7 linked regions of the Oryctolagus cuniculus genome follow. The protein of the gene in region 1 purifies or fractionates together with the protein of each later gene. This does not show direct contact. Links are inferred from orthologs where the notes say so. Each region holds a gene or a part of one and is shown in the gene's direction. Other genes may lie near its edges. The genes, in order: KRAS, HSP90AB1, C1QBP, HNRNPA0, RPL18, HSPD1 and HNRNPA1.

Region 1 (4,002 bases):
ATTTTGCCAACACTTGACACGGAGTAGGCACAGCCTTTTCCCTTCCCCGTCTTCCACCTGTCTCTTCTGCCTCCCACCTGGTGCTGGGAGAGGGAGGCTGGAATAAAAGTCGTGCAGATTAAAGCCCATACACGCAGAGAAAGAAAACGGCGATCGCTGATGTCAAGCCTTGGTTAGCAGACATAATGGCTGGGATCTAAAATAACCGAATTGCTGGTCTGTGGTGTGGGCTGGAGGGACAGCACTGGAAGCAGAGGGCCTGCTTAATTCCTCCAGCTCTCCCAGGGGCCTTTGCAGGTAGACTCCGGGCTCGCTAAGGCGTTTAATCGCCCCCATTGTTTCATGTCTGACCTCCTTAGCTCATTACCCAGCCTCCTAATGAACCTTGGAGCGGCTCTCCGCCAGTCTAAACTGCCCTGGGTACTTGCACCGAAAAAGAGTTCGCCTTCCGCTCGGGCTCCGGGGGCACCGGGGACCTCGGAGACCCTTCCTCGGAGACTGTGCACTGGCTTCGAAGCCCCAGAGACACAGCAAACCAACCCGGATCCCCAGGACCAAGACAGGGTCTGTGGCGGCCGTTCGGGCGGCGATCACGAAGCCCCGGGCCTCTCCCGAAGCCACCACTGTCGCCTCCCACGTTTGGCGACTGCCTGTTCACGGACGTGCAGGTGACGACACGAAAGGGCTGTGCTGGACCCTGCGGGGGTCCCCGGGGCTCCTCGGTGTGGACGCGGGCAGGGCGCGCCGACGTCTCAGGGGTCCGACCCTGCCGCGCGGGTCCCACAGCCGCTCCTTCCCGCCCAGGCGCCGCCCGCCCCGCCGCCCCGCCGCCCCGCCGCCCCGCCGCCCCCTCCCCCGCGGGGCCAGCCTCCGCCCCGCCTCCCCGGCGGCGCGCGCGGCCTCCCTCTCAGCCCTCTTCCCACACCGCCCTCAGCCGCTCCCTCCTCAGCGCCGGTCTGGAGAGGAATCGAGCGTGGAACACATCGATAGCTCTGCCCTCTGCGGCCGCCCGGCCCCGAACTCATCGGTGTGCTCGGAGCTCGATTTCCCCGGCGGAGGCAGCAGCGGCAGCAGCAGCAGCAGCGGCGGCTGTGGCGGCGGCGGCGGCGGCGGCGGCGGTGGTGGCGGCGGTGGTGGTAGTGGCGGCGGCGACGGCGGCGGCGGCGGCGGCGGCAGCAGCGGTGGCGGCTGCTCGGCCAGGACTCCCGGCCCCCGCCATTTCGGACTGGGAGCGATTGCGGCGCGGGCCCTGAGGGCTGCGGCGGGGGCCTGAGGCTCGGCGGCTCCCAGGTGCAGGGGAGAGGTAAGGGAGCGGACCACCCCTCCCGGGCCCCTCTGCCCGGGTCTCGACCCTCAGCGCCGGGCGCGGCCGGCGGCGGGCGAATGAATTAGGGGGTCCCGGGAGGAGCCTGGAGGCGGCGGGGGGCGCGCGCGGGCGTCCGCGGTGGCGGGGGGGGGGTCGCGGCGACGCGGGGGGAATGAGGCATGGGCGGTGCGGGGCTGAGGAGGGTGAGGCTAGCGGCGGCCGCCGCTGGTGCAGCTTCCTGGACGGGGAACCCCTTCCTTCCTCCTCCTCGCCGAGAGCCGCGGCGGGAGGCGGCCGGGCGCGGTGGAGGTGACTCCCGCCGCGCTCGGCCTCCCCTCCCCCTCCCCTCCCGCTCGCCGGGGCCCCGGCTCCCGCACCCCTCTGCCCCGCTCCCCGGCGCTGGCTGGGCGGCCGCCGGCTGCATCTCCGGGGCACGCCGCCGCACTTGCCCCGGGAGCGCAGGCTGGCGCGGGGGAGAGGTCCCGGCGGCGGGGCGGCGCGGCGCGGGGCGTGCGGGGCGTGCGGGTCGGGCGGGGGGCGTCCCCGGCCTGCACGCGCTCCGAGACCGCTGCCGGAGGTTATTGTGCAGCAAGAACTGCCCCTGCCCGCCGAGTTCCTGGCGGCTCCCCTCCCCCCCCCCGTGTGAGCTGTGACATTGCCGTGGTCACAAAGGAGGAGGTGGTGATGGTGGTGGAAGAACAGGTGGCCCACGCCCTCCACGTAGAGCCGGGGGCCCGCGGCGGAAAGGAAAAAGTTAATCCCAGAAGGTCTGTTTTGCTTTGTCGGGTGAAAAAAAACGGCGAGGAAACCCGCCGAGCAGAAGCTGGGCTTTTTTTTTTTTTTTTTTTTCCTGGCCAGTGCAGTAGTAGACCCCGGTAGCTCTCATAGTACTTGAAGTTGAATTTGCCTGTGCTTGGCGCTTGCTTTGGCTCGTCTTGGCTGCCCTTCTCCCTATCCCAGGAGTTACCGCAGTACTCCTAAAAAGCAATTAAAAAAAAAAAAAAACTGACTCACGCCAGGAGTTCATTGTAGTAACCGGCCCCCTGTAAACTCTCAGGTCCTTAGAGCTGGAGGCCCAGGCCAGCTGGCTTGAACCTTCAGAACAAGAGGTTAACAGCAGAGGGCTTTGCGGGTTATACGGCTGGGCTAGACCTTGATTTTTCAAAGTCTGTTGGTGGTCAGGGCCTCAGAAATAACCGTGTGGCCGGTGTCACTCTCAGGTCCCCAGTGCTGACTCCGACGTGGGATAGGCTGTGCACATCAAAAATGGTCGCTGTCTGCACTGTTGGATTTGAGGCTGGCCCCATCCACGAGCGTGTTTCCTGCGCCGAGGTGGTGGATGGCAGTTCCGTGGGGTCTAGTCCCACTTTCACCGCTTGCTAGCTGCTGTAATTTTGGGCAAGCGGCCTCTTCTGGCCTGTGATCTTCCATCAGTAAGACTCTGTGGAGACCTACCTAGTTCTTTCTAAAGGGTCTAAATATTACTTGGATTGAGAAAGTGATTTAGTAATTTTTTTTTGTGCTAGAAACAACCACTGCATAAACACATAGACCAAAAGGTGTGTGTTTCTGAATTCACACATATGTATATAACTAAACTGTAATCTATCTGTTCACAGTACCTCCTGGGTCAGCACATTTCTTGGCCATAAGGATCCCTTTACCACTCATACAAATATTGAGGATATCAAAAATTGTTGTATCAGGAGGTATTGTCAATATTTACTGCATTGGAAATTAAACTGAGAATTTTAAAAATCTGGGAATTCATTTAGACATAGAAATAATAAGCTCATTACTTGGTAACATGAATAAATGTTTTATTGAAAACTATTTTCCAGATCATAACCAAAAATAAGTAAGAATGGAGCTGTTTCACACTTTAATAAATCCTTTAATTATGTGGCTTAATGGAACACATCTGAATTCTCCTATCTGCCTCTCCATTCAGTTCATTGTGATTATAGGTCTGGAAAACTCTGCTGTACACTCGTGAAAGAATGCGATTGAAAAGGACAAATAACATTTTAGTGTCGTAATGAAAATAGTTTCCACCTCTTAGGCCTTAAAAGAAGTCTTGGGAACCTGGGGGGTTCCGCGGCCCACATTTTCAGAACAGCTCTTTGGGGCCGGCCAGTCTGCTGTGGGCATTGAGGTGGCAGGGAGCTAGAGAAAACATTTTGGTGGGATTCTCTTTGGTGGGATCCCTTCTGCAGGTTGCCTACATCTGGGAGAAGACTGGGCAAGCAGAGTAAGAGATGTGAGGTAGCTTTCAGTTCTGTCCTAGATACACAGTGAGCAGAGGCTGGGAGGTGTACGAAGATACCCATGCTACTCACACAGTGTTGTAGCTTCTGGCACTCTCTGGGAGGGGCTCAAGAGCAAGGTGAGGAGGTCAATGTGGTATTTGGAAACCTGGTGAGCATTCTCTGGGGGTCAGTGGGGTGTAATGTTTGGGATGTTTCTTGGCCTTCAGGAAATAGAATAGTACATGTATTTTGTTTAATCTACAGTATATACATGTGAATCTGGAACTGCTTACCCTATTAAAAAATCATTGTAAATTTATTGCCATTTCTGCACTGTACTTCTTATTTGTAATAACTTGTTACGTAAGGGAAAGGAGATAAAATTAACTATATTATTTGAAAAAGTTCAAACAGTCAACTATATTATTTGAAAAAGTTCAAAATAAA
Region 2 (4,147 bases), on another chromosome or scaffold:
CCTCCCCCACCCCATTCACTTCCCCCAGCCACAGGCTTCTCACAGACCGCGGTGAAAGGGACAAGGACATGGAGAGAGACCCTTGGCCCAGTGACGGCCGGGACGACCACGTGGACAGCGCAAAGAAAAGAAGGGTCCTCCTTTGTTCTCTGGAAGCCAGCATGCGGCCAAAGCTGGTTAAGGAGGGGGAACCGGGTGCCGGGGCTGGCCGGCTGGGGAGCACGGAGCAGGGCGTGGCCAGGGTCTCCTGGGAAGGACGCGGGTCCAGCAGACTTTCAGGGGACCCTTGGGAAAGGCAGGTCCGCCGGCAGCCGGAAGGCAGGCAAAGGGTCCAAATTGGGCCAGGCGGGCGCGACCCGCGGCTCCCTGGGCTGCCGCATGGCCGAGGGTCGCAAAGGAACTTGGTTCCCACGGGGCAGGCGACCACCGGCAGGGGTCCCTGGAGACCCTCCCCTCCCCCTGCCCCCGCAGCTAGAGACGCGAACGAGGGCGTAAAATCCGAAACCAGCTTGGGAAATAGCTTGAGGTGACCCTGTAAGCAGGGCGCCTCAACCAGTGTTTAGGGATTGGGGGGCTGCCGCGAAGGCTCGGGAAGGGATGGGCACCCCCAGTCTCGGCTTGGATGGAGGCGCCCGAAAAACATTTCCGCTGCCCGAGGTGTGCGGCCGGCGGGAGAGGCGGAGGGCCAGGTGCCCCTCAGCGGCGGGGCAGTGCCGCGCTCCGGGGGCGGACGAGGCGGGTAGCAGGGCCGAGCAGCGGCAGCCCACCCGCTCCGCCCAGGGGTCGGCCCGAGCTGCAGTACCTACACTGCCCGGGCCGCAGCGCGAGGGGAGGAGCCTCGAGGGGAGGCGGCGGCGGGGGCGGGGCCGCCGAGACTGGCCTGGAAACTGCTGGAAGTGGCCGCAGCACCGCTGCCGCCGCTCCTTCCGCCGCACGCCAGCAAAGAGTCCCCTCCCTCCCGGGCCGGCGCCCCTCCCCCGCCCCAGGGGGCTGCAGGCAGCTGGGCCGTTCGCCGGGAGGAGGGGGGATATATGTGGCAGATCCTAGTTAGACGACTGGGTGGGAGTGACTACCTCTGCTCGCTTCAAGTCCCCGTCGGCTCGGCCTCCTGGTTGTGGGAGGGCTTTTGGGGGAGCCGGTGGGGTCCTCGCTCGCAGATCCACTGTTGAGGCATATGAGCACTCTCAGTCCCTAATCGTGGCAGGGGTCACGCCCTGGCCGTGCAGAGAACAGGAGCTCACGAGCCCACACCGAGGCTGGCGGCTCTGGCTCTTCCCCGCCCGCCCCCTATTCCGGACCATGACGTCAAGGTGGGCGGGCGCCGGCAGGTGCGGGGCTCGCGGGCGTCCGCCTTTAAGGCGGAGGGATCCGGGGGAGGCGGCTGGGCTGTGCTTCGCCTTATATAGGCTGGCTGGGGGCTCCCAAGAGCTCTCTTGAGTCACCCCCGCGCTGCCTCGTGCCGTGTGCGGTTGGCAGTCCGGGCCCTCCGTGCTCTCTCGTGCTCGCAGCCCTTTCCCTTCAAGGTAAGGCAGCCGCGTCCCTGCAGGCCGTTCCCCCGCGGGTGCTGTCGCTGCGCAGCTCGGGAGCCAGACGCCGCGGTGCGGGGCGGCCCGTGGGTCCCCGCGCGCTCGGGCTGCGGGGGTGGTGCGTGGAGGCTTTCCAGCGTCCGGTCGGCCTGCACCGGCGCGCCGGGCCGGCGGCGCGGGGCCGCGGCGGGGGCCGGCTGCACGTGGTGGCCGCGCCGGCCCGGGGCGCTGCCATGTTTGCCCCTCCACTTCCGGACGCGGCTACGAGGGCCGCGAGGCGGCCGGGTCCGCGCGCGGGTGACTCAGCACTGCGCGCCTGGGTTGCCGCTGCTGCTCGGCCCTCGAGGTCCGTGCGGGACCCGCCGCGGGCAGAAACGCATTTGGCGTGTGGCAGGTCTTTTCCGCAGCCCTCGAGTGGGAGGGGACAGGCTCTGGAAGATTCATAGGCTCCCTCCCCCGCCCCTCCCCGAGCGCGGAGATTGTTCTCGAAGCTTCTGGAGCCCGATGCTCCGCCCCAGTGCCCGGATGCTGGGGCGATGGCGAGGCGCGCTGTGGCGCCCCCTTCTCGCGGGGCTGCGGCCGACGCATGTCCGGCAGTGACGAGGGTCGGTCCGCGGCCCCGGGCACCATTTTACTTGGGTGCGAGCAGGTGCTGGGGCGTCACGGGGCAGCCTTCGCCTGCTCTGTTCTTTGTCCCGCGTGGACTGCCCCGCGAGCCGGTTACCGCTGTTTCTCGGGTGTCAGTGTGCCCTGCCGCGTGGGGCTGCGATCGGGCCTTGGGCGCATCCACACTACAGGGGTAGAAGAGCTGCCTACGGGCGAGCAGTTTGAGAATAAAACCAGCGCCCACATCAAAGAGACGTGTGGTCAGTGATGCTGGCGTTTGAACGTGGGGCGGGAGTCCCTTGTCTGGGTTGGGACCAGCGTGGTGAGCGGCTGCTGGTCACCCCTGCTCCATGCTACCTGCTTGTCTGGTTGAGGAGGGCTTTGCTCTTGACCTGACTCGGTGGTTGTTAGTATTCACCCCACAGGTTTTAAGAAAGGGCGTGTCTTCAGTAACCCCGCCCAAAGCAGTTTAAACACCATCTGAATTTCAGAAGCGTCAGTTCTGGGGCCGCTACCTTCCTGATTCTTGACCCTCCTGTTCCAGATGCCCGAGGAAGTGCACCATGGAGAGGAGGAGGTGGAGACTTTCGCCTTCCAGGCGGAAATTGCCCAACTCATGTCTCTCATCATCAACACCTTCTACTCCAACAAGGAAATCTTCCTGCGGGAGCTGATCTCCAACGCGTCTGATGTGAGTTCCTTCGTGTTTCATGGCTGGCTGGGCTCCTCCCGAAGGGGGAAAACTGATTGCTATTGAAGGGGTTTGTCCGGGTGCTCCCTGGACGAGCGGGCCAGTGTGACCACGCGGCTCCTAGTCCAGTGAGGCCCAAGGTTCTCACTTCCAGGGGTATTTCAAGGACGCAATTTTCTGTTACCATTAAATGGCACGTTTATTACTCACTCTAAGAGTTCACAGTTCGTGTAGGATGATGGGGCAGTCAGAGTTACAGCGTGAGAGTAGCAATCCAAGAGGTTCCTAACGCTGAAGAGACGGCTAAGAAATCCGCTGTTGGTGCTGCCTTGCAGGCCCTGGACAAGATCCGCTATGAGAGCCTGACGGACCCCTCCAAGCTGGACAGCGGCAAAGAGCTGAAGATCGACATCATCCCGAGCCCCCAGGACCGCACGCTGACGCTGGTGGACACCGGCATTGGCATGACCAAGGCCGATCTCATCAACAACTTGGGGACCATCGCCAAGTCGGGGACTAAAGCCTTCATGGAGGCTCTGCAGGTAGGTGGCAGCCAGCCCTCGACGTGCGGCCGGGCCTCTGTTCTCTGCAGGACACGAGTCTGACCGTTCCCGCTTCTCTGCAGGCTGGTGCCGACATCTCCATGATCGGGCAGTTCGGCGTCGGTTTCTATTCTGCCTACCTGGTGGCCGAGAAGGTGGTCGTGATCACAAAGCACAACGATGACGAGCAGTATGCCTGGGAGTCTTCTGCTGGGGGCTCCTTCACCGTGCGCGCCGACCACGGTGAGTGGCCGGGAGGCGCTGCTTCACAGGGCGAGTGTGCAGCAGGCGGTCCTGGGGCAGCTCGCTCACCGCCTGCCCTCCTGGTCTGCAGGGGAGCCTATTGGCCGAGGCACCAAGGTGATCCTGCATCTCAAGGAGGACCAGACTGAGTACCTGGAGGAGAGGCGGGTCAAGGAGGTGGTGAAGAAGCACTCGCAGTTCATAGGCTACCCCATCACCCTCTACGTGAGTATGCTTCCCGCGGAGGCAGCCTGCCTGTGCTTCTGGTGGGCTGGGCCATTTGCTTGCCCTGAGGGTCGGTGCTCAAAACTGACGAGTGTTTCTGGGTGCTTTAGTTGGAGAAGGAAAGAGAAAAGGAAATCAGTGATGATGAAGCAGAGGAAGAAAAAGGGGAAGAGAAAAAGGAGGAGGAAGATAAGGAGGACGATGAGAAGCCCAAGATCGAAGATGTGGGCTCCGATGAGGAAGATGACAGCGGCAAGGACAAGAAAAAGAAAACCAAGAAGATCAAGGAGAAGTACATCGATCAGGAAGAACTG
Region 3 (4,248 bases), on another chromosome or scaffold:
GAGACTCATGTTCTTCTCCGGGGGGCAGAGGATGCAAACAGCTTCTAAGTAGCTTTCATGTTTCAGTACAGAAATATGTTTACCCCTGTAACACTGAGGTAGTTTTTAATATAGTATTTAGTTTTCTATTGGGCTTTTAAGGAAGTTATTTTTTTATCATAGCTGCTCAGGGATGAATCCAGGTTGGAAAGCCCACCCTAGCTCCACGTCACTAACACAGAAATAAGACCTGTCTGTCGAGCTGCAGGGGATGCTACACCTTAAACTTAGCGCTTTCACAGTGACACTGCACCATAGCCCCGAGCTACCCTTTCCCACCTCCTCTGAGCGGCTGTGTGCAAACAGTGTCCTCAAGCAGGCGGCGTGGGGCGTGGCTCAGGCGGCTGTCCTGCTTACATCATCACAGAGGGTGAAACGTGGGGTAGGGCACCTTTCCTTACAAGGGCGAGGACCCCAATCCCTGTCCTTGATAAAAAGCTTTCATGCTGCAAACCTGCTGACTGGGAAGGAGATGCCAGATGAGGACAAGGTTTTGCTCGGGGAGGGAAATTGCACTGTGATACCTAAATCCTCCGTCCACTACGGATGTGGCCATGCATCTCTGACACCAGTGCTTTAGCATAAGAGAAAGCACGGGCCCCGTGGGCGAGAATGTTATGTTGTATTTCATAAGAATATTGTAACCTGCAGAGAAATCCCGAGGGAGGGAAAAAATCAGGTTGGCTCAGGCGTACGTTGTATTTTGAGTCTTAAATAAAGCTATGAAAAGATCAACTCCTGTGTATATATATAATGCTCACATTCGCACCTGACTAGCAAGTGTCCATTGAGAACAAGTCTTGTACATGATGCATGTCCCTTCTTTCTTGTGTGTCCTTGCCCTTATTCACAGAAAGCTGTTTTGAAAATATTAAGTATTAGCCTTACGATTGCCACAAAGCTAGGGAGACATTTTCTTGGTACCTTCCACACCCTGGCGAGTGCAGAACCAGATGTTAGCCATGGCTTCTGGCTCCCGGCAAAATGACTTTGCCTGAGAACTTGGATGCAAGGCCGGAGGGAGCAGGTGAAGCCAGTCACGAGAGGTTAACCATGGGCACCGCGCCTCGCGCCTCTGGGTCTCACCTGGCTGCAGTGAGGGGAGTCAGCCAGGCAAGCGAGCAAAGCCAGGGCTTGATGCACACGAGAGAGCAGAGAAGGCCTGCGAGAGGTGTGCTGCCGTCGAGTGTGGAGGACGTGTGCAAGCCTGGCGCGCTCTGAGAATTAACCACAAAGCTCTGCGCACCAGACCCCAACACACTCCCGGGGCGGTCCAGGAATCCGGATTCGAGGCTGCACCGGCGGTCCCCGGCAGAGGGCGCCATCCGGCCCGCGGTGCCTTCGGTCTTTGGAGCGCCGGCGGCGGGAGACGCTTCCGGGCGAGGGCGGGCTTCCGGCGGCGGGAGGTCACTTGGGCGCTTTGGCCCGGGTCGTCCGTCGCCGCCGCACGTGTCTGACGCCGTCCGCGCGATGCTACCGCTGCTTCGCTGCGTGCCCCGCGCCCTGGGCCCCGCCGTCGCCGGCCTCCGCGCCGCGGCCCCGGCCCCGCCGCTCCGGCCGCTGCTGCTGCCCGCGCCCCGGCCTTGCGCCCGGCCGTTCGGGCTGCTCAGCGTGCGCGCGGGCTCGGTGCGGCGGCCCGGCCTCCTGCGGGCTCGCGAGCCCTGCTCCTGCGGCTGCGGCGCGCTGCACACGGAGGGTGAGGGGCTCGCGCGTGGCGTGGGGGACCTGATTCCCGACGGCGACTGACAGCACCGCTCCCCGGCTCCCCCGGCCCCGGGTGCGGTTTGGGGGGTGGGGTGCTGCGGCGCTCGTGACGGAATTGGCTTCTCCGGGCGAGCGGATGCAGCTGCCCGCTTCCAGGCCGGATAGCGTTGGGGAGGCGAGGCGGATGCCGGGCAGAGGGCGGCGGTCCCCGGGTCCCCGGGTCCCCGGGTCCCTGTCGGGTGCTTGGCGCTCCTTGACGTCTCCGCGATTCCTCCCCAGGAGATAAAGCCTTTGTGGATTTCCTTACCGACGAGATTAAGGAGGAGAAGAAAATCCAGAAGCATAAAGCCCTTCCCAAGATGTCTGGAGGCTGGGAGCTGGAGGTGAACGGCACAGAGGCTAAACTCGTGCGCAAAGTGGCCGGGGAGAAGTAAGTGCACGGCGCGCCCCGGGGTGCGCGGCGTGGGGCGGCCTCTGGCTCGGGACCCTAAGCTCGCTGGAGCCACATGTCAGCCACCCCGTGTGACTTCACAGCGGGACCCTTCCGCAGCCGCCCTGTCCCTTCTTCCCCCTCCGGCCCCTTGAAACCGCCAAGCTGCCTTCTCTGGATTTGCCTGTGTGGGACATTTTGTGTGAGTGGGAGTCATGCAATATGTGGCCATTTGTGTCTACCTCCCCCCCCCCCCCCAAGATTGATTTATTGGCTTGAAAGGTAGAGTTAGAGACGTCTTCCATCCACCCCAACAGCCAGAGCTGGGCCAAGCTGGAGCCAGGAGCCAGGCAGCAGGCACTTTTTCCATGTCCTCCCACGTGGGTGCAAGGGTCCAACACTTGGGCCAGCTTTTTTTTTTTTTTTTTTTAAGATTAATTTATTTGAGAGGCAGAGAGTAAGAGAATTACAGAGAGAAGGTTACAGAGAGGCGTCTGAGCAGGGAGCTGGATCCAAAGCAGAGCAGCCTATGGGTGCCAGCGTTGTAGGCAGCAGCTTAGCCAGCTGTGCCACAACACTGTCACCCCCGCACCCCCGTTGTTTTTGAGGTTCATTCATACTAGTAATAGCATGTACCAATAGTTAGCTTTTTTAATGACAACATAATATTTCATTATGTGGATATGCTAGATTTTATTTATGTAAGGAAATGGGAGACAGACCAGAGGAGACAAGATACGAAGTCAACGGCCAAAATCAATTAAGAAGAAAAATGGGAGCCAGCGCTGTGGCATAGCACGCTAAGCTGCCACCTGCGGTGCCTGCATCCCATATGGGTGCCGGTTCAAGTCTTGGCTGCTCCACTTCTGACCCAGCGCCCTGTTTCTGCTCCTGGGAAAGCAGCGGAAAATGGCTCAAGTGCTTGGGTCCCTGCACCCACATGGGAGGCCTGGAAGAAGTTCCTGGTTTCCATCTGGCCATTGTAGCCATTTGGGGAGTGAACCAGCAGATGGAAGATCTCTTTCTAACTCTGTCTTTCAAATACAATAAATAAATCATAAAGGAAAAAAAAAAAGACAAGTGAATTTGCAAAGATGGCCAACCACTGGCATGCGCACAGACAGAACACGTGGCCGAGAGAGCAGGAATTTATTTACGGGCTGGATTTAAATAGCATAGGCCTGATAAGGGCCATGAGGTGCAGTGGAGCTGAGCTAGCTTTTCTATGGAATGCAGAATGCAGAGGGTAGGGTGGGCAACAGTACAGGGCGTAGGACTGAGCTGGTCTCTTGAAGGAAGGTAAAGGGTCCCTCAGGCAAAGAGCCACAATGCCTGAGGCTCATGTCCTTGTTCTGTCAGTTATCCATTCATTTGTTGGCAGGCATTTGACAGGGTTCTATTTACTTTGTGATTCTGGTTTTTTATTTATTTATTTTTTTAATTTTATTTATCTGACAGATAGTTATAGACAGAGACAGAGAGAAAGGTTTTCCTTCCGTTGGTTCACCCCCCAAATGGCTGCTACGGCCGGCGCTGCGCCAGTCCGAAGGCAGGAGCCAGGTGCTTCTCCTGGTCTCCCATGGGGTGCAGGGCCCAAGCACTTGGGCCATCCTTCACTGCCTTCCCGGGCCACAGCAGAGAGCTGGCCTGGAAGAAGGGCAACTGGGACAGAATCTGGCGCCCCGACCGGGACTAGAACCCGGTGTGCCAGGCGCCGCAATGCAGAGGATTAGCCTATTGAGCCACAGCGCCGGCCTTTACTGTCGTTTTGAAAGACAGATAGCTCCCATGTGCTACTTCACTCCCTAAATATTGAAATGTCCAGGTATAGGCTACGCTGGAGCTGGGAGCTGAATCCAGGTTACCAGGTTATTGCCTTAAAGGTGGGCTTTAGATATTCTGGGTGCAGTTCCCCTTATCAGACACAGGGTGTGCAAGTGTTTTCTCCCATCCTTGGGTGTTTTTTTCCTTTCCCTATGTTATTGGTATTGACATACACTTTTTTTAGTTATTGTTTGACTACACCAAGTGAACTATTTTTTTAAAGATTTATTTATTTATTTGAAAGAGTTACG
Region 4 (3,585 bases), on another chromosome or scaffold:
TTTCTATCCTACTGCCTGCTCTGCTCAAACGGATTCACCCATTGCCCCCTGAAGCGCAAGTTTCCTGCAGAAATCTTATCTAGTCTTCGTCTCCCAGATCCAGTACAACTTTAACCTCTTTCCCAAATCCTTCCCCAATACTCGAGGAAACAGCGAGGAATCACTCTGAGCTTCTTCAGTAATAACCACCTGGTTTGGGAGGCTCTTGGTGTCCTAGTGCCACGTCCCAGTCTAGGCATCTTGTTTGGCCACAAAGGTTCAAACAGTTCAAAGTTTTGGCCTGCGGAGGGCACTTAAAGGCAGGCATCAGGTGTGCAGACGGGCTCTTTGCGAATACAATGCTCAGCTATTCTTGGTTTGATATAAAACGTCTGGAAAAAGCCAAAACGTGAGTTGGAAGGGGGCAGCGCACAGATGACTTAAGTTATGAGTGTATCCTGAGGTAAGTGAAAATGTCTGCAGGAGTGTGCGGAGCGGGTGGGACGTTAGATGTGGCGGAGCCCCGCCTCGGCGTGAGGTTTTCGCACCCTGTTATCTTTCACACCGCCTCGGACTCGCTTTTGCGCATTACTACGCCACGTGTTCAAGTTTTGGTTCAGCCACGCGCCCGGCCCACTGGTAACCGTTACCAACCGCCTCCCTGGACCGGTCCTCCGCCCTCCATCTTTACGGGGGCGAGAGGAGGGGCGTGGCCGCCAGGTGTAGCCGCCCGGCCGAGACGCGGCGGGTAAACCCCGGCCCCGAACCCCAGCAGTTAAGTTTTCAAAGCGCCCGCGCGTGGCGCCCCAGGCAGTAGCCGTTGGGAACGGCCCCCAGCGAGGCCCCCAGCCCATGCCCCGCCCAGCCCGGAGCGGGAGGAGGCGTGCAGGTGGCGGCCGCCCCGCACTCCGGGGGCGCCCGGGCAAGCGCGCACTGGGGGCGCGCCCGTCCAGCAGCTGCCGAGAACGGAAGTGGGTGCGTGGGGTTGCGGCGATTGGCTGCACTCACACGCCTCTCAAGGGGCTGGCGCGAACGCCACTGCGGAGCGGGGCGAGGGGATAGGGGAAGGGGAGGGGGAGAGTCACTGGGAACAGCCGGGGGCTGCTCGGAAATGAACTGCGGAGGGTCGCGGAGGGCAGGGCAGGTCCGTTGCCAGGGCGCGCCGAGGCGCCCGGCAGTGACAGATGGACAGCAGCAGGCGTGGGCGCGCCCGCCGGGGCCGAGGGCTTGAATAGACCGCGGCGGGCGCGGAGTCTGTGGTTGAGCCCGGCGCTGCGGCGCGGTAGGCGGGACCAAGAGGAGCGAGGCGGGGATTGGCGGGCGGCCCTAGGCTACCGTGCGTCGGTGGTGACGCACGCCGCGGGGAGGGTACGCGCGCGTTCAGCGGCCTCTTTGTGTGGTGCCCAGATAGGGGAGCGGAGGTGGCGGCGGTGGCGGCAGGGGCGGCCTTGGGTGCTCGCCCGTCTCCCCGGCGCGCCCTCCTCGCCCGCACCGCTCCCCTCCCTCCCCCTCCTCTTCTCCTTCCCTCCCCTCCCCTCCCCTTCCCCGCCGGTGTCCGGCGGGGGCGGCTCCAGCGACGGCTGGGCCCCAGTTGTGAAGAAGCCTCGGCGACAGATAACGGCGACGGCGAAACCTCGGGGCTCGCGGGGCGGGGGCAAGGCCCGGGCCGTGGAGATGGAGAATTCCCAGCTGTGTAAGCTCTTCATCGGTGGCCTCAACGTGCAGACGAGTGAGTCGGGCCTGCGCGGCCACTTCGAGGCCTTTGGGACCTTGACGGACTGCGTGGTGGTGGTGAACCCCCAGACGAAGCGCTCCCGGTGCTTTGGCTTCGTGACCTACTCGAATGTGGAGGAGGCGGATGCCGCCATGGCCGCGTCGCCGCATGCCGTGGACGGCAACACGGTGGAGCTGAAGCGGGCCGTGTCCCGCGAGGATTCGGCGCGGCCCGGTGCCCACGCCAAGGTGAAGAAGCTCTTTGTCGGGGGCCTGAAGGGAGACGTGGCCGAGGGCGACCTGATCGAGCACTTCTCGCAGTTCGGCGCCGTGGAAAAGGCCGAGATCATCGCCGACAAGCAGTCGGGCAAGAAGCGCGGCTTCGGCTTCGTGTATTTTCAGAACCACGACGCGGCGGATAAGGCCGCGGTGGTCAAGTTCCATCCCATCCAGGGCCATCGCGTGGAGGTGAAGAAGGCCGTCCCCAAGGAGGACATCCACTCCGGCGGGGGCGGCGGCGGCTCCCGGTCGTCCCGGGGCGGCCGGGGCGGCCGGGGGCGCGGCGGGGGGCGAGACCAGAACGGCCTGGCCAAGGGCGGCGGCGGCGGCTACAACAGCTACGGGGGCTACGGCGGGGGCGGCTACGGGGGCTACGGCGGCGGCGGGGGCGGCTCGTCGTACGGGGGCAGCGACTACGGTAACGGCTTCGGCGGCTTCGGCAGCTACAGCCAGCACCAGTCTTCGTACGGGCCCATGAAGAGCGGCGGCGGCGGCTGGGGCGGTCGCAGTAACAGCGGACCTTACAGAGGCGGCTACGGCGGTGGGGGCGGCTACGGAGGCGGCTCCTTCTGAGAAGCTGGAAATGCCTGGGAGCGGCTGCAGGGGCGGCCCTGAAACATGCCGAGTGGGGTCCACTCCTGAGGCCCGTACTCCTCCACCGCCTTCCCCATTTTGCCCTTGGGGGAGCCGCTGAGGCTGCTTACCCTTGGGAGTGTCCCCCTGTTTACCTGGCACCTCTCGACCCTCCCTCTGAAGATGGACTAGACCCCCCCCCCTACATTTTTGTGTTACAGTCATTGATGGACTCTATTTTTTTATTATTACTTGGAACTTGGTCGTTTTTATACTAGCAAGATGTCTTGTTTTAATTTGTGTTTTTTGGGGGGGAGGGAGTGAATTTGCTCATTCTGTAGCAAAACCCGGGCGGGTGTTTGGGAGGGGGAGTAGTTTACTTTGTTGTAAGGACTTGATACCTGGCTACAGCGTTTTCTATGATCTACTTGGATCCCATGCCTGAAATTTGGAAGCATATGTACAAAAATCATTTTTACGTTTTATTTTTAATAAATCATTGTGTTTGACCGTACATGTCTAACATTTTTTTTTCTAGGATCCATTCCGTACCTATTTAAGGGATATTGGTTTTAAGATTTTGTGTGTGTGTAATTCTGGATGTGTACTTAGAAAAGCTTTTCAGAGGTTCTGTGTTTTTATCCTCCCCCGTTGCTCTGCTAGTGACATGTTGAAGTTTATCCCTTTCAGGCAAAACTTGAAGTGGTGGATGTGACTCTTTAAAATCTTAATTTATGTGCATCCATCGCTTGTACTGAGTGATTTACTTAGCATCTTGACATAGTTGGTCACTTCTTTCTATGAGACTTTACTTCAAAGTATGTACTGTGTAGTTCTAAAGAAGTAGTTTGTGTTACGCATGTGTTCTCATTCATACAAACTGTTTAAAATTTTTCAGATGGCTGAGTTTCATCCCTCTTACTGATTTGTGTTTAATGAATGGTTACAAATAAGGGTTATGTTTTACCCTCACACTAAATGCGTTTTTGTATTTTCTGAGCAGGTTTAATCCTTTTTTTCCCGTCTATATCTGAACTGTTA
Region 5 (4,100 bases), on another chromosome or scaffold:
CCGGGGCTCCCCGGGGGACACTCACCTGGTCCCGCGCTCCTCTGAGGCGGGGTGTCCATGCATCTGCACGGCCTCGGCTCGGCTACATCAGCGGGGCCTCAGCCCTGCGTGCGGGGCCAGGGCGAGGAGTGGCGGTCACCGTTCTGGCCTGGCCTTTGCTCTGTGGAGAAGAGGTGAGTGAGCAGCTTGCAGGCAGCCGGACCCGACGGGCCAGCTTCGTCACCGCCCCGACCCGTTCCTCTGGTCCCAGAAAGGAAACGATAATAACAGGTGTGTGAAAGAGCCGTTATTAGGTGCGAAGCATTCGACCCCAGCGCTTTTATGAACATATATAATCCTGGCAGACAGCGAGCCCATTGTCAGCCCTTTCTTGCAGACAAAGAAAGCCAGGCTCCCAGACTTGCCCAAGGTCACGCCGTCACTAGGCAGCAGAGCCAGGATTTAAAAGGGGCAAGCCCGAGTCTCCGCATTCTTGTATTATTCTCCTGGGGTCTCCATCCCCCGCCCCCGCGCCCCCTCCCCTCTGCATCTATCTCTGTCTCCATCCCTGCAGGCCGCTGCCCCCGCCCCTGCGGGGCCGGTTCACGCATCCCCGTCCCCCCCACACCCTGCACGCCGCCACCCCCTCCCCTGCGGGGACTCTGCACGCCGCCGCCCCCTCCCTGCGGGGCCGGTTCACGCATCCCCCCTCCCTGACCCTGCACGCCGCCGCCCCCTCCCCTGCGGGGCCGGTTCACGCATCCCCCCTCCCCGACCCTGCACGCCGGGGCCTCGCTCTGCGCCCTCTCCGCCTTCCAGTACCCTGCGCATCCCTCACACCGAAGCCGCCGGCCCGGCTGGACTCTGTGGCTTGCAGACAGACGGCCCCCGGCGGCGGAGGCCGAGGAGGGAGACAGGCACGGGCCCTCTCGGGGTGGGGGCAAGGCTGCGGGGACAGCGTGCTCCAGACGGAGCTGCAGCGACAAGGAATCGGGACAGATCTCAAGTAGGACTTCCCGAGCGGCGGCGGCGGCGCACGGGCAGAGGTGAAGCTGATAAGGAAACGCCCGAGGCGTGAAGTCACAAGTTTCCGGAGGCCAGGCCCGACCCGGCCCCGCCGGCCCCGCCTCCGCACCGCCGCGGCTCGGCCCGCCCGGTCCTCCGGCAGCCACCGAGAGGCCGTCAATGTCGGGCCAGAGCGTCCCCCTAGCGGCACACATCTCTCTCGGCTCCCAGCGCGCTTTCTTCCGGAAGGCTACCGAGAGCAAGGGCTGGGTAGGGCTAGAGAGGCCCCGACGCATCGGCCCTTCTCTCCCTGACGTCGCCCCTGTTCCTCTGTGGTTGTTTCTCCGCCCTAGCCCGTTGTCGCCCACGCAGCTGGTCCTCCGACGCGCCACAAAGAGGCCTCGGTCGTGCTAGAGCGGCGCGGCGCGCTCCTGTGACGTCACACGCGCGCCGCTCGCTGAAGGCTTTCCACACCCATTCCGGTGCTTCTCTGTCTCTCTCTTTCCGGACGGGGCCGGGCAGGAGTCGCCATCATGGTGAGTGAGTTTTGCGGAGAGCTGGGTGCTTCTCCATCCGCCGCCATCTGCCACAGTCTCGGGCTTGGGGCATGCGGGAGAGAGGCGGGGGGTCCGCGGGGGTGTCCAAGGAGCGGCTCCGAGGCCATGGGGCTCGGAGGGACTCCGGAGGCCAGCGCTGGGTCAGAGCCACTCTGGCCGGCTTCCTTCGGAGCCCGCTGCTCCCCGTGCTGAGGTTCGGGGAGTCCTAAGTGATGTGACCGTGGTCACGGGAGGTGGCGGAGACTCCGGACCCAGGCGGCTGACCCCCCAACCCGTCCGCGCCGACTTAGTCTTTGGTCCCCACGACCCAGATCGTCCGTCACCCTGCTCTGCTGCGGGGTCTTGGGGACGGGGAGGCCCTGTGGGTGCTGTGCCTGCAGCGGCTTCATCTATGGGCACCGTGACCCCCAGCGCCGCTGCGGACGGCGGGGAGTGGTCGCCACTTGGGTAGGGCAGGCGCTGGCCCGACGGGGCGCTGCGGTGGCTCCTTTCACCATGAACGCGCTGGAAAACCGAGTTACCCGGGACAAAGCAGGGGGTGCCGTCGTGCACGTCGTGGGCGCTGCGAGGGCCGCACACCAGCTCGGGCCCGACTGCACGCGGGGTCTCGCAGTGTTGACGTTACCGCAGAACACGGCTTGGAGGCAGTTAAATCCCCCTTAGCGTCGCGGGGTACGGCCGCCGCACGCACACGTGTCTCCCGGGGGGACCTGGGGTTTGCGCTGTTGTCCCAGAGTGGGGGGGCCCGGCCCGGCCGCCGCTGAGCGTGGGGGGGCGTGGTGGTTCCTGCGCAGAGTGGGGCCCGTGGTCACCGTCCCCCCCCCCCCAGGGAGTCGACATTCGCCACAACAAGGACAGGAAGGTTCGGCGCAAGGAGCCCAAGAGCCAGGACATCTACCTGCGGCTGCTGGTCAAGGTGAGCGGGAGCTGCGGCCGCGGCGTGGGCAGCCCCCGCGCGGGCGCGGGCCGGGCCGGGCCTCACCTGCCGCCCCTCTCTGCAGCTGTACAGGTTCCTGGCCAGACGCACCAACTCCACGTTCAACCAGGTGGTGCTGAAGAGGCTGTTCATGAGCCGCACCAACCGGCCGCCGCTGTCCCTGTCGCGGATGGTGCGTGGCCGCGGCGCGGGCGGGGGCGGGGGAGGGGGAGGGCCGCCCGGGGCGGGGGCGGGGCCTGACGCCCCCTCTGCGCCCCTCTCCCCTGGAGATCCGGAAGATGAAGCTTCCCGGGCGGGAGAACAAGACCGCCGTGGTGGTGGGCACCGTCACCGATGACGTGCGCGTCCAGGAGGTGCCCAAGCTGAAGGTGAGCCTGGGGCCTGGCCACGCCCCGGAGGGCGCCCCCCACGGGCCGGCGCTGGCTCGGCTCTGACCCCGCCCGCCCCGTGCCCCAGGTGTGCGCCCTGCGCGTGACCAGCCGTGCCCGCAGCCGCATCCTCAAGGCCGGGGGCAAGATCCTCACCTTCGACCAGCTGGCCCTGGACTCCCCCAAGGGCCGCGGCACGGTCCTGCTCTCCGGTGAGTGCCGCCGCCCGCCCGCCCGCGCGGGGCTCCCTGGGGAGGGGCGTGTCCCTGTCTGATCCCGCTCGTGTCGCACCCCCAGGTCCCCGCAAGGGCCGTGAGGTGTACCGGCATTTCGGCAAGGCCCCCGGAACCCCACACAGTCACACCAAGTGAGTGTCGGCCCCGGCGGCTGGGCAGCGCCTGGCTCACGGTGGGGGCGGGCTCTTGGAAGTTCCAGAAAGAGGGGGAGACAGACCTTCACCCGCTGGCTGCAGCAGTCCGGGCTGGGGCTCCATCCGGGTCTCCCACGCGGGTGCAGGGGCCCGGGCACTTGGGCCGTCTCCTGCTGCTTTCCCAGGGCATAGCAGGGAGCTGGAGCGGAAGTGGAGCAGCCGGCACTGGAACTGGCGCCCACGTGGGGTGCTGGGCTGTCGTACGGGGGCGTTGGCTGGGAGCTGGGTGTGAAGTGGGACGCCCTCCATGCGGGGGCAGGGCCGGCTCTAGTGGTCCGGGCGCCCCTGCTGCCCTCTCACCCTCCCCCCCTCTCCCCACAGACCCTACGTGCGCTCCAAGGGCAGGAAGTTCGAGCGCGCCAGAGGCAGACGGGCCAGCCGGGGCTACAAGAACTAACCCTGCGCACCGCGCTGTTAATAAAGATTTTTGGACGCCGACGTCTGTGTGTGTGTGTGTGTTGGGAGGGGGGACGGTGGAAGGCCCTGGCCCGGCCCCAGGCTGCACCACCTGCTCCCGGAGCCCCGCCTCTCCTCCCGGAGTCTGTCCAGTTGGCCACGCCCACCCTGGCACTAAGCACTGTTGGGGCGAGGACCAGGAAGTGCAGGGGGCAGGGTGTGTGGGCAGGTGAGGCGCAGCCGGCGCTGGTGGCCATTGGCCGCGGGCGGGCGCCCCGGGAGCTGCACCCCAGGACCTGCGGGCCCACCCCGTTTGCACAAGGGGCTGGGCTGCCCCGGGCGAGGCCTGCTGAGGCCACAGCAGGAGGAATGGCGGGAGGGCTCCGGCCCCCTGTGCTCCGTGCGCACTGAAAAGGCAAGGAGGGAGG
Region 6 (4,039 bases), on another chromosome or scaffold:
GACGCAAGTTATTTAAAATACTTTTATAGCTGCATCTGCAGTCCCCAAGTTACCTTTCCTTTAGAGCCTGATCCAACAGCTACTACCGTTGCTTGCAATACTTTTCCTTGAGATTTTTCAGGGAGCATAATGCCTCCTTTGGTTACTGTTTCCGCGGCGCTCCTCTCCACCAAGACCCGGTCAAAGAGCGGAAGAAACTTCCTAAATGCCTGTCCTGCCTGCAGAGAGAAAAACGTTTTATTGAAAACACGCAGGGCCTCCGCAAGCGTTTCATCTCAATCAACTTCGGTTTTCCAGAACACCCACACTAAGGGAACGCATCTGAACGTTCCGCCCTTTGCACCAAGTTTAATATTCCCCACCCTCTGTGTTCGCTGGGGGGTCGTTGTCGCCCCTCTCGCCCACGCGACCTGGTTAACCTTAATTAACTCCAAGGTCATTTTCCTTAAGTTTTTCTGGAAAAGTCAGGGCCACTCCCTCCGCCTGGAGCCGTACTCTTTCTCCTAGATCCTGCACACCCACAAGGGCCCTGCGTGCAGAGGCAGGTGGGCCGCCGCGCTTGTGTGCCCGGGCTCCCGCCCCCCTGCCCCACGCTACTGCGGCACACGCGTGTGCAAGGAGCCCTCGGCGGAGGGGAGGGCCGGCGCGGCCTCGCCTCTGCGGAGGACAGGCGGCCGCTACTCACGGAACGCTCCACTAGCCCTGCAGTCAGGCCCCGCAGGGCGCCCTGCGGGCCACGCGGGACTCACCATGGCCCCAGCGCCGCAGCTTTCGCTCCGCTCTCGCGCCGCTCCAAGGAGAGACCCGCAGCCTGACCCTCGGGACACGTGAAAAGGCCAGGCACCGCGCACGCGCGCTCGGCCCGCACCCGCCCCCGCCCCTCCCCCCGAGAGGGGCGGCCGCCGCAGCGCGCGCCGGGATTCGCCCGGAAGGCGCCGCGCGGCCTGCTGACGCGAGGCCCAGAGGGCGGGATTGAAGAAGAGCTTTTTCTAGGCTTTTCTAGGCCAGCAGGCCGAGGTGAAAGGACAAGCCCACCCCACTGTCCCCCTCCCGGAAATGACGGGGTGTGACCCTTGACCCGCAGAGCGCGCGGCGCTTTCCGGAAAGTTCTGGAAGCGAGCGCGGCCCGGGAACGAGCCTAACTCGGCCGGAGGGGGCTGATCCCGCCGTCCAGGCTCTGCGCGGTGGGGAGGGGCGGGGCGCGGGCGCGGCGCGTGCTGATTGCCGGGCCCCGGGCGACGGGAAGGGGCGGGAGCCGCCGCACACGCGGTGCCGCGGGGCGGGGAGCAGCCGAGGGAGGGGCACAGACTCATTGCCGTGCGCGCCCTGCAGCCTGGCCCTCACTCGCCGCCGACGGCCTGCCTCGCCGCGTGCACTCCGCGCCGCCTCCCCGCAGGTACGCGGCCACTGGGCGCCGCCTGGCCCCGGCTCCTGCGGCCCTGGAGCAGGCCGCCTTCCGCTACGGGCCGGCCTGAGCAGGCCGGCAGGCGACAGCCAGGACTCGGAGGATTGCGAGACGGGGCCCGCTGGGCCAGGCCTCGGGAACCCATGCGGGTTTCATCACGTGCGGCGTGGACTGCGGCCCGGGCCAGGCGCGGGAGGGAAGGAGGGAGGACTGGCCTGGGGACGGGACGGGGGACATCGAGGCCGCTAGGGCCTGCTGGGGTTGCCTGTTCCTGGCTGGGGGTGGTCGCGTCCGCCAGGAACTGCTTTTGGCCGGCGGGCTGCAGGGGTACGGCGCCTCAGCTCTTGACCTTGCTGGGGGCGTCCTGAAAGCAAGGCACGTGGGGCTCGGCTCGCGGAGTCGGGGCCTAGTTAACTGCTCTGATACAGTAGCTTCGGCTGGATACTTGAAGACACTTTCCGCTGAGCGGGTTTTGCGGCTTCAGGAATACTTCCTTAGTGACTCGGATTTGTAGACCGCCTCTCTTCTCGCTCTCTCCCCTCCCCCCACCCCACTCCCACCGATTGGTCTTTGCAGGGATACAATTGGAGCGATTCTACTCTGTAGGCCATTGTAGCGGTGAAAAATTAACTCGTTTTTGGAGGCAGGAGTAGGCGGCCATGGGGTAGCAGCTGCGTGTGCCTTGTGCTATAGGTCAGGCAAGGGGGCGGCCTCTTAGCTTGCGCCGATTGCTGGGGTTCCGAGGCTGCGTGGCCGGGGGTTAGTGGCTGGCAGAGGTCGACCTGGTTCACACCTAACCTTGCTTGATCTGGTGTGAGGGTGGGCATATTTGCTGCGACGCGCGGATTGGCGTGGTACTGATCGTGTACTTGTTTTCTCCTGCAGAAATGCTTCGATTACCCACAGTCCTTCGCCAGATGAGGCCAGTGTCCAGGGCACTGGCTCCTCATCTCACTCGGGCTTACGCCAAAGACGTAAAATTTGGTGCAGATGCCCGAGCTTTAATGCTTCAAGGTGTAGACCTTTTAGCCGATGCTGTAGCCGTGACAATGGGGCCAAAGGTATCAGTATTATTTGGTTTTAATTACGTATTAGTAATTAAGGAATACTGTTTTACTGATTAAGGAATAGTCACGTAGAACTATTTACCAGTGCTTTGGTATTCACTTTTTGAGAGAATCTAGTTTTTATGTATAGTTCTTTATTATTGTGTGTATTGTGTGATGTAACTGGGTAGTAACTCACAGCTTAAGGTGAACACTTAGTACAGTTAATTTCGCTTGTGTCCTTGCATCACATTCATGGATCTTTTCCCAGTAGTGGCATGTATTGGGGGGAAATACAGGTTGTGTCCAATAATACCTCAGATAAGTATTTGCAGGTGATAATTTTTAAAAGATTTGTCTGAAAGGCAGTGTGACCGATCTCATCTGCTGGTTCACTCCTCAAATGCTCACAACAGCCAGAACTGTGCCAGGCAGGAACTCAACCTCTGCTCCCTAATTTTTCATTACCATTTTTTAGCACACAGTTAAGGAACAGTAAATGCATTGATCTTGTTGGCAATCATAGCCACCATGTATCATCTTGGAAAACTAACTCTACCCATTCCCCCCTTCCTTGTAGGTACTAATTTGCCCAGTACTTTTCTGCTGCTCTCCTGTTCCAAAGCATATTTAAAATTTTTTTGAGGTGGCTGTAGTACAGATGAGTACAGTTTTCAAATTGAAAACAGTTCAAATATCAAAGTGACCTAAACAACTGTAAAAATAGGCCATTTGTACAGCTCAAAAATAGAAGGTAGCAGTTTTGGTGCAAATCCAAAAGGTACAGAAACATATATGCTATGTTTGGGATTCCTACAGTTTTATTTGTGGGATACCATTATGGTGTAGCCATTTAAGCTGTAGCTTGTGATGTCTACATCCCGTGTCCCAGTGCTGGTTTGAATCTCAGTTACTCTGCCTCCTATTCTATTAACTCCCTGCTAATGTTTCTGGGAAGGCAGTGGAAGATGGCCTAGGTAATTGCCAACTGTATGGGAGATCGGAATGGAGTTCTTAGCTCCATATGTGGCTTTTGCAGCCATTTGGTGAATGAACCATTATTGGATGGAAGATCTCCTAATCTCTCCATTTTTCTCTGTCGTTTTGCCTTTAAAAAAAGTAAATTTTCTTTTAAAAGATTTGTTTGAAAGGCACAGAGAGATTTTCCATTCAACGGTTCACTCCCCAAATGGCTGCAATGGCCAGAACCAGGAACCAGGAGCTTCTTCCAGGTCTTCCACATAGGTGCAGGGACCATCCTCCACTTTATTTTCGGAAGTGGAAGACTTCTGTGGCTCACTTGGTTAATCCTCCGCCTGCAGTGCCGGCATCCCATATGGGCGCCGGATTCTAGTCCCGGTTTCTCCTCTTCCAATCCAGCTCTCTGCTGTGGCCCGGGAGGGCAGTGGAGGATGGCCTAGGTAATTGTTTGCCTGCACCCGCATGGAAGACCAGGAAGCACCTGGCTCCTGGCTTCGGGGCTTTGGATCGGCGTAGCTCTGGCGTGGCAGCCATTTGGGGAGTGAACCAATGAAAGGAAGACCTTTCTCTCTGTCTCTCTCACTGTCTAATTCTGTCAAATAAATAA
Region 7 (4,092 bases), on another chromosome or scaffold:
GTGCACCGGGCGGGGGGCTTCGCAGAAGTCGTAGGGGGGAAAAACCCACCCCCGCACGCCATCACGACCATTGAATCTCCTTCCTCCCCACCCTTTCCCACCAAATCGAAGACCTCCCCGTCCTGGAGAGCCTATTGGACGACCTGTCCGAGAGGCTTCCTTGGGCCGCCCGCCTACTGGCTCCAGATTTGGTCCATCCACTTGAGGGCCCAACTCCCGCCTTCCCCGCTGGAGTCAAACCCACGGCCCCTCGGAGAAGCCCAACCTACCGCGCGCTTCGCGCTCATTGGCTCGGCGGGACGCTGCTCAGGAAGGGAAAACCCGCCTCCCACATTCCGATGGCCCAAAGGCCGATCAGTCGGCAGCTCGAGGTAGACCCAATTGGCCTAGACACGCGCCAGTCAAACGCCTCGGCGGCACAGCTCCACACAACCTACAGGGATGGAATATCCCGCCCCCTGTTCTTCTATTGGTTGGCCCAACCCACCGCTGCCCCTTGACTATCCCCCCACCCCACGGTCCATTCATTTCACACAATAACGGGCCCAACTGGAGCCGGTCCAAGGCCTTGTACAGGTAGACAAGACTCTCTGCCACTTACCCGGGATCGAGAGTGATCACACACCCTAACGTCTGCCCCGTTCCTCTGTGCTGAGGCCGCACCACAAGCCACCGCTGCTGCTGCCTTCTGCGCAACGCCAACCGCCCGCCAAAACGGATCCTTCCCTGCGCCTGCGCAACCAATCCTGGGCCCGGACCCTTTCTCCGCCCACAACGCCTGCGCAAAGCAGCGCGCAACTCCCGCCACTACGCAGGCGCCGTAGGTTAACCGCCTTCTCCCGCCCGCCATTTCACGTGTTTCAAGCGGCGAGCGGAACTCTATAATGCGCATGCGCAAGATCGCCATTTTACTACACATGCGCTCAACAGGCGGTTGTTGAAAAAAACCGTCACATCTAACTACTTTTCTGCTGCTTGGTGTTAATAATGCTTTACCAAACAAATAGGATATATAATTTGGACTAGTAGAATGAAAAAAAAACGTTTAGACAGGCGAAGTACGTTCAAAAATGAATGATTGTTCAGTTAGCCAATCAGGCTGGCTAAGAATAAGATTGCTCGAGGACCAATGGGGTCCGAGGGGTGGAGACTGCGCAGAACGCCCTAACGGTGACGTACGCAGCAGTGCGGCGCCATACACCAATAGTAGAGGGAAGCGATTTCAAATGTCCAATCAGAGCGAGGCAGGGGTGGAGTCTGCCAATGTCGAAAGCGAGGAGGCGGGATAAAAAAGCGAGGCCGAAGGTAGGCTGGCGGATACGTTCGTTGGCTTACTCCTTTCTGCTTGCGGACGCCGCCGAGGAAGCATCGTCGAGTTCTCTCTTCCCACCGCCGTCATGTCGAAGTCAGAGGTGAGGAGCTCCCCTTTTCTAACGTAGTTCTCCCCCTCGTCTCCCTCTTCGAGTCCAGTAGGGGCGGTTTCTTTGCCCGCAGCAACCTTTTCGGCAGTTTGCTCGGTCGCGGCCAAGGCCTACCCCTCCCAAAGTTCAAGTCGCCATTTTGTCCTCGTCGTCGCCATGAGGTTGCGGGCCGCTAGCCCCTCGATAATCACTCCGGGGTCGGCGTCGGGGCAAAATCGTTAGCCATATGGCGATTTAGGTTCAATTTTGTCCCGGCGAGCGGGTTTTAAAAAAGCCTTGATGCCCCTCACGGCGATGTCCCCCTCCCGCGCGGACCTTTTGTTGCGCGCGTGCGTCTGGAGGGAGCGGAGCGGCGCATGCGCTGGAGGCTCCCCAGCCCCCAACGGGCCGCCTCCCCTGATGAGGGGGAGCACGTGGCCCGCTTTGGACCGGAGCGAACAAAAAGTGCCGCCTTTGTGGGGGCCGAGTTGTGTTCCCCACCCCCCGCGTGGAAACGGGGTCGTGTGGTAGCCCGAATTTACAAGAGAAAAACCAATTTTGCTCTCCCGCCCAGTCGCCCAAGGAGCCCGAGCAGCTGCGGAAGCTCTTCATCGGAGGGCTGAGCTTTGAGACGACCGATGAGAGCCTGAGGAGCCATTTTGAGCAATGGGGCACGCTCACGGACTGCGTGGTAAGACTGGGGAGGGCCGGGAGGCGGGGCGTCGGCGGCTGTTCCTGCAGATTCTGTGCGAGGGCTTAAGATCCTAACGGGGCCTGAGTTCTGAGTTAGGAATGGCTCGTTTGTGGCTCTTCGGCCTGCTTTTTGGAAGTTGCGGGAGCGGGGAACAGGAGGACCGCCCTATAACCTCCTACGGGCCCGGGCCTTGTAATAAGCAAATTAACGCTGTCTCCAGGTAATGAGAGACCCGAACACCAAGCGCTCCAGGGGCTTTGGGTTTGTCACCTACGCCACCGTGGAGGAGGTGGATGCGGCCATGAACGCAAGGCCACACAAAGTGGATGGAAGAGTTGTGGAACCAAAGAGGGCTGTGTCGAGAGAAGTAAGTGGGCCCCCAAACCCCCATCGGTTGTGGTAATAGGCTTGCCATTGGGGAGCCATCTGGACCCTTTCAAGTACTTGATAAAGGACACAGATTTTGCCATTTAGAGTAACTCGTGGTTCTCGGCTCGGTAGGATTCCCAAAGACCAGGTGCCCACCTCACTGTGAAAAAGATCTTCGTGGGTGGCATTAAAGAAGACACTGAAGAGCATCACCTCCGAGATTACTTTGAGCAGTACGGGAAAATCGAGGTGATTGAGATCATGACTGATCGAGGCAGTGGCAAGAAGAGGGGCTTTGCTTTTGTGACCTTCGACGACCATGACTCCGTGGATAAGATTGTCAGTGAGTATCAGATCCCAGGCACTTTGCGGGCTTTCTGCAACGCACGTGGCATTCCACTCTAACCCCGGGCTGTTTGTCATCAAATTTCAGTTCAGAAATACCACACTGTGAACGGCCACAACTGTGAAGTGAGGAAGGCCCTGTCGAAGCAGGAGATGGCCAGCGCTTCGTCCACCCCGAGAGGTATGTCTATTGCTTAGTCGGACGTTAAGGTAACTTTGAGTTTTTCCAATCTGTATGGTTTAACACTTATCTCTCAAGGTCGAAGTGGTTCTGGAAACTTTGGTGGTGGTCGTGGAGGTGGTTTTGGTGGCAATGACAACTTTGGTCGTGGAGGAAACTTCAGTGGTCGTGGTATGTATGGTTAGCTAAGGTTAACTCTAGAGAGCTTGTGGTTTCTTGACCCTAGATGACTTGTCCCTTTTTTTTCTGTAACCTGTAGTAGCATATAACAAATGGCCTACGTTTCCGAAGTTAAGTTTTATCTAAAATGCAGCTCTGGCCTGTAACTAACCAGAAGTTACTCCGGTGTGCCAATCGTTGTCACAGTGCAGGGAGCGCTTCCAGAGCGTACCACGCAATTCATATGCTCTAAACCTGCTGCACGTGTTTGCTTTCTTCCAGGTGGCTTCGGCGGCAGCCGCGGTGGAGGTGGTTATGGTGGCAGTGGGGATGGTTACAATGGATTTGGTAATGACGGTAAGTCTTTAAAGAATACATAGGTAAAAATGTTTCTGGCAACTTGTGTTACTAGATTAGGATGATAGAAACTGTTAACTGCTAGTGCATGATAAGCTCAACTGAACCCATAATAAGCATGCTTTGCGCAGGCCTTTAGCCATTACACTTGAACCGATTTTGATTGTTAAATACTTTTGTCTTATTGAGAAGAATTGTATTCTTATAGGTGGTTATGGAGGAGGCGGCCCTGGTTACTCTGGAGGAAGCAGAGGCTATGGAAGTGGTGGACAGGGTTATGGAAACCAGGGCAGTGGCTATGGCGGGAGTGGCAGCTATGACAGCTATAACAACGGCGGAGGCGGCTTTGGCGGTGGTAGTGGTAGGTATCGAGTGATCCAAGTACTTGGTCTGATAGCTAGATTAGTGTTTTAGCATTTTAATGCCCATATTGCGATTGGAAGCTCTTAAAGCATTGTGTGGTACACTGCATGGTATATTAAAAGGAAATGAGCTTGCTGTGCTACCTCCTCCTAGCTTTAAGCTGGGGCCGCCTCACTCCCAAATAAGTAGATGCTAAGCGGGTAGTGGTGTCTGTGATGTGAGTG

What was found.
Region 2: the proteins of KRAS (region 1) and HSP90AB1 purify together in Homo sapiens (affinity purification with mass spectrometry; 4 studies listed by BioGRID and IntAct, with this or other methods). This does not show direct contact. The link is inferred for Oryctolagus cuniculus from reciprocal best matches to the Homo sapiens genes KRAS and HSP90AB1.
Region 3: the proteins of KRAS (region 1) and C1QBP purify together in Homo sapiens (affinity purification with mass spectrometry; 3 studies listed by BioGRID and IntAct, with this or other methods). This does not show direct contact. The link is inferred for Oryctolagus cuniculus from reciprocal best matches to the Homo sapiens genes KRAS and C1QBP.
Region 4: the proteins of KRAS (region 1) and HNRNPA0 purify together in Homo sapiens (affinity purification with mass spectrometry; 3 studies listed by BioGRID and IntAct, with this or other methods). This does not show direct contact. The link is inferred for Oryctolagus cuniculus from reciprocal best matches to the Homo sapiens genes KRAS and HNRNPA0.
Region 5: the proteins of KRAS (region 1) and RPL18 purify together in Homo sapiens (affinity purification with mass spectrometry; 3 studies listed by BioGRID and IntAct, with this or other methods). This does not show direct contact. The link is inferred for Oryctolagus cuniculus from reciprocal best matches to the Homo sapiens genes KRAS and RPL18.
Region 6: the proteins of KRAS (region 1) and HSPD1 purify together in Homo sapiens (affinity purification with mass spectrometry; 3 studies listed by BioGRID and IntAct, with this or other methods). This does not show direct contact. The link is inferred for Oryctolagus cuniculus from reciprocal best matches to the Homo sapiens genes KRAS and HSPD1.
Region 7: the proteins of KRAS (region 1) and HNRNPA1 purify together in Homo sapiens (affinity purification with mass spectrometry; 3 studies listed by BioGRID and IntAct, with this or other methods). This does not show direct contact. The link is inferred for Oryctolagus cuniculus from reciprocal best matches to the Homo sapiens genes KRAS and HNRNPA1.

What each region holds. Positions count from the first base shown.
Region 1 is NC_091440.1:122,550,041-122,554,042, reverse strand, and holds the start of KRAS (GTPase KRas), read left to right. Parts: upstream 1-1,169; 5' UTR 1,170-1,303; intron 1,304-1,924; exon of another isoform or gene 1,925-2,073; intron 2,074-4,002. UniProt on the Homo sapiens protein: Ras proteins bind GDP/GTP and possess intrinsic GTPase activity. Plays an important role in the regulation of cell proliferation.
Region 2 is NC_091436.1:125,882,774-125,886,920, reverse strand, and holds the start of HSP90AB1 (heat shock protein HSP 90-beta), read left to right. Parts: upstream 1-1,316; 5' UTR 1,317-1,523; intron 1,524-2,676; coding exon 2,677-2,823; intron 2,824-3,158; coding exon 3,159-3,365; intron 3,366-3,448; coding exon 3,449-3,608; intron 3,609-3,699; coding exon 3,700-3,833; intron 3,834-3,943; coding exon 3,944-4,147. UniProt on the Homo sapiens protein: Molecular chaperone that promotes the maturation, structural maintenance and proper regulation of specific target proteins involved for instance in cell cycle control and signal transduction. Undergoes a functional cycle linked to its ATPase activity.
Region 3 is NC_091448.1:50,896,039-50,900,286, forward strand, and holds the start of C1QBP (complement component 1 Q subcomponent-binding protein, mitochondrial), read left to right. Parts: upstream 1-1,421; 5' UTR 1,422-1,509; coding exon 1,510-1,735; intron 1,736-2,022; coding exon 2,023-2,173; intron 2,174-4,248.
Region 4 is NC_091437.1:25,591,687-25,595,271, reverse strand, and holds HNRNPA0 (heterogeneous nuclear ribonucleoprotein A0), read left to right. Parts: upstream 1-1,348; 5' UTR 1,349-1,653; coding exon 1,654-2,544; 3' UTR 2,545-3,058; downstream 3,059-3,585. UniProt on the Homo sapiens protein: mRNA-binding component of ribonucleosomes. Specifically binds AU-rich element (ARE)-containing mRNAs. Involved in post-transcriptional regulation of cytokines mRNAs.
Region 5 is NC_091449.1:8,505,535-8,509,634, forward strand, and holds RPL18 (large ribosomal subunit protein eL18), read left to right. Parts: upstream 1-1,296; 5' UTR 1,297-1,517; coding exon 1,518-1,520; intron 1,521-2,370; coding exon 2,371-2,457; intron 2,458-2,542; coding exon 2,543-2,650; intron 2,651-2,747; coding exon 2,748-2,846; intron 2,847-2,934; coding exon 2,935-3,058; intron 3,059-3,143; coding exon 3,144-3,213; intron 3,214-3,299; exon of another isoform or gene 3,300-3,575; intron 3,576-3,597; coding exon 3,598-3,673; 3' UTR 3,674-3,714; downstream 3,715-4,100.
Region 6 is NC_091434.1:42,763,514-42,767,552, forward strand, and holds the start of HSPD1 (60 kDa heat shock protein, mitochondrial), read left to right. Parts: upstream 1-1,208; 5' UTR 1,209-1,396; intron 1,397-2,290; 5' UTR 2,291-2,292; coding exon 2,293-2,466; intron 2,467-4,039. Other genes in the region: HSPE1 (10 kDa heat shock protein, mitochondrial), read right to left, coding at 54-218, 750-752. UniProt on the Homo sapiens protein: Chaperonin implicated in mitochondrial protein import and macromolecular assembly. Together with Hsp10, facilitates the correct folding of imported proteins.
Region 7 is NC_091442.1:57,215,959-57,220,050, forward strand, and holds the start of HNRNPA1 (heterogeneous nuclear ribonucleoprotein A1), read left to right. Parts: upstream 1-1,271; 5' UTR 1,272-1,397; coding exon 1,398-1,412; intron 1,413-1,974; coding exon 1,975-2,091; intron 2,092-2,314; coding exon 2,315-2,461; intron 2,462-2,595; coding exon 2,596-2,806; intron 2,807-2,896; coding exon 2,897-2,989; intron 2,990-3,067; coding exon 3,068-3,160; intron 3,161-3,430; coding exon 3,431-3,505; intron 3,506-3,713; coding exon 3,714-3,866; intron 3,867-4,092. Other genes in the region: CBX5 (chromobox protein homolog 5), read right to left, coding at 602-919. UniProt on the Homo sapiens protein: Involved in the packaging of pre-mRNA into hnRNP particles, transport of poly(A) mRNA from the nucleus to the cytoplasm and modulation of splice site selection.